Coturnix japonica: one gene and its partner. The protein of the gene in region 1 interacts with the protein of each later gene in a biochemical or structural test. Links are inferred from orthologs where the notes say so. Each region holds a gene or a part of one and is shown on either strand. Other genes may lie near its edges.

Region 1 (4,169 bases):
ATCACTTACCAATATCAGACAGTAAGATGAGAATGGCTTCTTCCCGCAAACCACAGCAATTCTCCAGCTGATTCAGGTACTGCAAGAAAACACCAAAATGACAGCTTCTCCACCCTATATCCCATTGAAGGATCGCAGTCCCACGTATTCTCAAAACACAAGATGTTCAGGCATGAACAATTAAGTTTTTTTTTATTTGTTTGTTTTTTTACAGACAAAACCATGGAGCTGGGACCTCTCCTAGCAATAATTAGGGCTTCAAGCCTCAGTGCATCCATAGGATGAGAAAGGGAGAGTGGAAAGTCAGTGTTACTGCAACTTTGCTGGGTCCTTCATAAGCATTTCCCCTGGAGCCTAGCAATACCAGCTCCACTGTCAGCTGTAAGTTACAGGTCTCATCTATGGGCAGGTTATAGCACTGTCAGCTGTAAGTTACAGGTCTCATCTATGGGCAGGTTATAGCAAAGTCAGCTGTAAGTTACAGGTCTCATCTATGGGCAGGTTATAGCGAAGGTTTAAAAAAGCAGTAAGATAAGAAGCAGCACTAGTAACTGTATTTTTTTCCTATTACAGACAGGGCCTGCACCTTGAGCTACAATGGTCTTGGACGTGCTCCAAATCCTGTTGCATATCCTTCACACATGCTCTCATCTTCTACATGCAAAATTGCTGCATTGTTACTTGCAGACAAATAAAAGTCAAAAGCCTCAGAAAGCACTAGAGATTTTCAGAACTTTATCAAGGACTAACGTGTAAAATCCTCTTGGTATCACATAAAGAATTAGGAAGCATCAGAACATGAAAATATGCTTTAAAGAGAAACTCCTAAAAAGAAGCCCCTAGGTTCCATTCCGCTGGGAAGCTAATCCAGCTTTTAACCTTTCACCACCACCACCTGTCTCAGCTGCAGCTGGGACAGTACTGCGTTCTTCAGAGTGCAGGGCATGACACCGTGTATTGGTTCTATAAGAAAAACAATGCTGATACACACCAACGTTTATAGCTGCTGCTAAGCAGTACTGCACAGCATAAGGGCCATTCTCAGCAAAGGCCCAAGTTACTAGGAGGGAACAGGATTAGGACAGCTGACTCAAACTGATGGTGAACAGGATATGAGGGGCTGAGGGCCGGCTCTTCCAGGCTTATTTGTCATAATAATGATCTATTCTCTGACTCAGTAAATAGTTTTTATCTCAACCCACCGAGTCCCACTTTTGTCTTTCAGTTCTCTCCCCCATCTCACTGGGAAGGAGAGGACAGTGAGTGAATGACTGGCACCTCACAGGAGCACCTGGTGAGCTCACCTTGCGGAGGTCCCCACCCTGGCAGTACTCCATGGCCAGCAATGGCAAATCATTCGGTGCAAGCTTCTGCATTCCCTCAGGAACATCACGGGCAGCCACCACATTGGGATGGTTCAGCCTGAGAAACAGAAATAAGGCAAATGGACACCGCACCAGAACCACACCTGCACAGCCTCACACAGTCATGGTTGTCACATTAAGTCCTATAAGGCCATTAATGCTTTTAGAAACTGAAAGTCAGCTCTAACAGCCTGCAATTTATCCATCCCTCACAGGCCTACAAACTCATTCCAGCTCTTTGCACACCCTATGTGTGCCACAGATGTATCACAGGTGTGACATGGAGCTACAGGACGAGCTCAATGCCCCGCCGGGCCGGTATCACCCCCCAGCAAGTTGTTTAGCAAGAGCTAATCAACCCAACACCCCGTGTTAACCAACCCAGAACCCCACAGCACAGCCCTGTGCAGATGCTAACACAGCAGAGCTGCTACGAGGAAAGCCTTAGACCCGAAGCTCTCAGGAATAACAAAGACCTTCAGCACGTCCTCGCTCCATGCCGGACCAGCCGCCCCTCCTGCCCGTACCTCAGTGCAGCCATTACTATAACGCCTATGCCCCTGTGAGGACAGGCTGAGGGAGTTGGGTTTGTTCAGCCTGGAGAAGAGAAGGTTGCGGGGTGACCTCATTGCAGCCTTTCAATACCTGAAGGGAACTTACTCCCAGGAGGGGAGTAAACTCTTGGAAAGGGCTGACAATAGCAGGACTAGGGGAAATGGTTTTAAGTTAAAAGAGGGAAGATTTAGGTTGGATGTTAGGGGGAAGTTCTTCATAGGAGCGTGGTTAGGCCCTGGAACAGGCTGCCCAGGGAGGTTGTGGATGCTCCGTCCTTGGAGGTGTTCAAGACCAGGTTGGACGGGGCCATGGGCAACCTGATCTATGGAGTCTCTATGGGGTCTATGGTGTCTCTATGGGGATCTATGGGGTCTCCTGGGCAACCTGATCTAGTAAATGTGTATGTTCGGTGGCCCTGCCAGGCAGGGGGGTTTGGAACTACATGATCCTTGAGGTCCCTGCCAACCCGAGTCATTCTGTCATTCTATAACGCGCCCATCAGGGCCGGGCCCGGCAGCGCGGGGGCGTTGGGCTCCACTCGGCCCGTCCCGCAGCGCCAGGCCCCGCTGCTCCCCATCACCTCCTCACGATCTCTATGTCCCTCACCTCTTCACGATCTCTATTTATCTGCCTCACCTCTTCATGATCTGTATCTCCAGGGACCAGCGCTCCCGGTTCCTCGGGCTCAGCTCCTGCCGGCACTGCTTGATGGCCACCTGCTCGCCGGTCTCCTGCGGACACAGCGCGGGGTCGGCTGAGCGCCGGTCGGGCCGGGCCCGGCGGAGCGGGACGGGACGGGCCGCCTCCTACCTTGTTGTGCCAGCGGATGACGTTGCCGAAGCCGCCGGTACCGAGGCGCTCCTTCATCTCCCAGGGGCCGCAGGTCTGCGCCTGCAGAGCCGGCGGGCGGCTCATGGCGGACGGAGCGCGGCGCCTCCGCGGGGCCTGGGCCGTCTCCGCCGGCACTTCCGGCTCCGGAGGCACGTGGTACGAGGCGGCCTTAAAGGGGCCGCGACCGCCTTCCGTCAAGTGAGGGCTACAAAGGCGATAAGGAGCAATAAATTCAGCTTTTCCAATGAAGAAACTCTGAGACGTAGGACTCAGGCTGCAGTAGGGCCGCCTTCCGTGGTTGGTATGTATTGTAAAAATGATGTGGTACTTACCACAGAATCACGGAATTATCAAGGTTGGAAAAGACCTAGAAGATCATCCGGTCCAACCATCACCAATACTTCCCAGTTAAATCATATCCCTCAACACAACATCCAGGCAACATAAAGCAAGAAAACACGTTTCTGAAGCCTTTTACACTTCCTGCATTTTGCACCTGGTGTGGAACTGAAAGAATCATAGAATCATAGAATTACCCAGGTTGGAAAAGACTTTGAAGATCATCAAGTCCAACCGTAGCCTAACCAGTACCCTATAACCACAGTACCCTATAACCATAGTACCCTATAACCATAGTACTCTATAACCATAGTACACTATAACCATAGTACCCTATAACCATAGTACTCTATAACCATAGTACCCTATAACCATAGTACTCTAACTCTAAAAACCCTACACTAAATCGTATCCCTGAGTACCACACCCAAACAGCTCTTAAACACAACCGGGGATGAAGCAGAGGCTTCAGGCAGCACCTGAGCAGCTGAACAGTACGTAGGGATCCTAACTTAGCAGCCTCTAAAAAAACCCTGTCCTGATGCAGGATCAGCTGGGAGGTAAAGCAGCGGACACTGCTGAATGGGGAAGGTGCTGTTACTGCTTGCTTTCCTAAAGCACAGTAAGAAGCACACAGAGCACCCACACCACTCTCTAGAAAGCTACAGCTGACCTTAAGCTCAAAAAGCTGGGAAATAACAACTTCTGAAATCCTCACTGGAAGCCATTACTTCATTAGGAACTTTAGAACTCCAATAGCAAAAAAAAAATCATCTTTAAAAGAGATAGAAATTAGCCCGTTTGTTCAGCAGAGCCCAACCAACCTTTCTCAACACAGTCCCATTTGTTCCTAAAGCAGATGTATGGCACTTATGTTCACACGTGCAGATGCATATGACAACCTTGACACAGGTTTCCATACAGAAAAGACTTAAACATTCAAGATAAAGTTTCCTCTTTGCCAACGTGCAAAATGACCCTCAGCATGTTTGCTGACAGAGGATTCTGTGCACTTACGTCCTGAAAATGAGAGGTCCTAACATTTCTTCATTGATATTAATTAACTTGGGAGTTGATTCC
Region 2 (3,267 bases), on another chromosome or scaffold:
TCTCAGCCTGTTCTGTGGTCCTTAGTGCACAATCACTTAAAAAGCAAGAAAAATAGCCTGACTGACATTCCAACAGGATAAGTTATAGCTTACTTGCCTTCTAACTTATAGCCTGCAATGAAGATCAAACTGATTTTTACTTGAGGGTACAGATCAACATCATTTTTCAATTACGTATTATTCATACACAGCCAGCAAAATAGATGATGTTGCACACTGTTTCACAATCACGTGCATGTCTAGACCAGCCTATATCTACTGCCTAAAAGAAAAGAAGAAAAAGTCATCGTTTCCAGAGACTTTTTTTTCTTTTTTTTCTTTAAAAAAAAAAAAAAGGAAGTTTTGGGGGTGGTAATAGAGCCATGAATGCTGACCCTCAGCAGAGCAGGTCTCTTTGAAAGCTGGTGCTGGGGCAGGTGCTTGGAGCCTCCAGTGTTTGCCAGCGCTCCTGTGCATCTGAGTCATATCAGCCATGTGCACCACGGAAGTTCACAACGCATTACTCAGAGCAGGCATGTAGCTTGGGCTCTGCCAAACCCGAGGCTACGTGAATGTCAAATTAAACATATTCATCACCAGAATGTTCTTTCTCTGTTTTTCTTTTGGGCATCCAGCAGGGAAGACTTATTAAGGCAGAACTTCATATTGTTGGGATTTCATTATATAATTCACTGACTTACAGTTTGCTTTGTTGTTACTTCAGGCATTTGAGCTTTGCTTTTCTCTCCTGCACTGGGGCCTAAGTCAGACCTCCACTCTGGGCTATACAGTGCATTCAGTCTTCCCTGGGGCTTTGTTTTTCCACGTGTCCTCACATTATAAGGTCACTACAATGTTAAATTACCTCACTGTCACGTGTGCTTCGATCCAGACTGGCTTTCCTCTACCAGAATAGCAACCCACCAGCAGCTGTGACCAAGAACAAGCTGATCTGTGTTGTACAGAGCTTCCTGATACTTTCCGCCACATGGCTACACATGCACTTCCAGAGGCGCCTACACATGCTGTAGGTTTCCAGCTTCAGCTCCTCAGAGTGCCTGTGGTGGTCTCCCTCTGTCTCCTGGTGACTTTTGTCTTGTTGTCACCCACCCTCACACCAGTCAGGGTGCTCCTGAGTCAGTTTCTGGGGAGGATACTATCCTCTGCTTTGTCACTTTGGAGAAGGTGAGAGTGTGAAGTGCAGCTTGCTGGAAACACCCAGCCCCTAACACTCCTCCTTGGGCTGCCTACTTCATCTTGTAGGTGGCTTCTCCTGTAAAAATGCAGAAGTTTGGCTGAGCTCTGCGAAGGGTTGACCTTCCGTATTTCAGTTTTTACCTCTTTGAGCTGACAATGCTTCCTATTTGGGAACAACTTTGAACTAAACTCATCAAATTCAGCTGCAAATAGAGATAGGTTTTATCTCTTTTATTTTGATTCCCCACAATGAAGTTTCAGCTTGTACTAATAACATCTATAGTACAGCTGCCAAAACAGTGTTCGTTCTTCACCTCTTAGTATTAGCATGCTTTTTTTGTTTGTTTTGTTATGTTTCAGGGTATAACTAAATATTATCACTGCTAGAGAAAGTGTATCTAAACCGTATTGGTCATGACCTATTTTTGCTTGGCTAAAAAGGAACAAGATACTTGAAAGTACATGCTAATTTGTAAAACTTGAACAAATCAGTTTTAATACTGCAATAAGGGAAATGTGAATGTATAGAATGAATCCAGCAGAGCCTGTAATAAATAGAAAATAATTGCAGGACATCAGAGAGGACAGCAAAAACAGGAGATGGTAACTTCACAGCCACGTGGAACCAGTAAGTGTTTAATCTACAAACTTTCTTGTTTTCAGCTGAGTGAAGCAGAGACAAGTAGACACAAGAAAAAGTACAAACAAGTTCTTTATTCTGCAGCTCCATTTGAGCACTCTAAAGATAGCATCAAGGACTGCATGGAAATCCCCTGGATACACTTTGTAATTTTTTCCGGTGAATCTCAGGATAGCAAATATGAAAGGCAAGGGTAAGAGAATGACCACAGCTGGTGTAGGCTGCACTTTGGTATTCCGCTTTTGCGGTGCAGACACCCAGAGTGGAATTAATCTCAGCTGTCTCTCCCTCCCCTGACTACAAGGGGCACCCAGATGACTAGCTCAGATGTAGATGTTTACACTGGTTTACAAAGGTGACATTCTGGAGTAGATGCATCCCACGCGCCATTTCTGAGGTGATGTTTCCTCTTGAAGAAAGCTATAAAATCAGGGCAATATGCAGATTGTCTTTTGCTTTGTAACTCACTAACTAATCAGATTTTGATGCTGGGCAAGCCATGAAAATACTTACAACTTATGGCAACTAATGCCTCCCGAAATCAATGGGTGGTAGGCAGTTAAATGCTTTGCATCTCTGGGGCAGTTAACCATCCATGAATATATATTTGTCTTGCGAGAAATTAGAGAAGTAACACTCACATAACTCCCCTCAATAGCTGTGAAATTTAAATAATTAATTATGACAATACTCACTGACATCCTGAAGTAAAAGGTCTGACACAAATAATTATACTTGATGTTTCAGTCTGTATTGATGATGTACTTGTTCCCCACCAACAATGCAGTTTTGGGACATATTGAGGCTAAACTTTAGACAACCTTTCATTTTTCTGAAGTTGTGTTTTCTTTCAGGTACTCCTTGGACATAGAAGAACCGAGATGAAACCTGCCCAGAGGGAGCATGTGGAACAAGATACACGTCCCTGCATTAAACAGTTACCTAAATAACAATCTCGCTATGTTACCATTTCCACAGTTATTTCAAGTGTTCAAGAAATGTATTTGAACTCCCAAATAATTCCCTGCTCAGCTCCTGTATGTTTCCAGTGTAGAAAAACAGTGTAAGTGCAGTAATATGAAGGCAGGGTTGTTTGGACCAAGTGTTAACTGCAAAACACTTGGCACTGTTACCAAGGACAATGTCTGCTCCACTTGCATTAATAATGCATTCAAAGAAACAGGCTTTTCCTTTGCAGTAGATGGAACTGCATCAGTTCTCTTTCTAACAGAGCAAAATGTTGTCAAACAACAAGATAGTGTCACAGTTCTGCACACTACTTCTAGTTGGCTACTGATCATCACATTTAGCTTCATTGAATCATAGAGATGTATGCAAGGATTTGTATCCAGCTTACACAATGAGAAGTGTTACGAATGGGGGGATATAACTGACCATTTATTTACTCTGAGGTTTTCAAAATTATCAGGGGAGACGAAAATAAACCATTG

The links.
Region 2: of the proteins of IKBKB (region 1) and TNFAIP3, one has a biochemical effect on the other in vitro, tested with the Homo sapiens proteins (2 studies listed by BioGRID and IntAct). The link is inferred for Coturnix japonica from reciprocal best matches to the Homo sapiens genes IKBKB and TNFAIP3.

Annotation. Positions count from the first base shown.
Region 1 is NC_029537.1:4,085,774-4,089,942, reverse strand, and holds the start of IKBKB (inhibitor of nuclear factor kappa-B kinase subunit beta), read right to left. Parts: upstream 2,897-4,169; 5' UTR 2,835-2,896; coding exon 2,730-2,834; intron 2,651-2,729; coding exon 2,556-2,650; intron 1,423-2,555; coding exon 1,305-1,422; intron 80-1,304; coding exon 10-79; intron 1-9.
Region 2 is NC_029518.1:49,354,314-49,357,580, reverse strand, and holds the end of TNFAIP3 (tumor necrosis factor alpha-induced protein 3), read left to right. Parts: intron 1-1,747; coding exon 1,748-2,013; 3' UTR 2,014-2,643; downstream 2,644-3,267. UniProt on the Homo sapiens protein: Ubiquitin-editing enzyme that contains both ubiquitin ligase and deubiquitinase activities.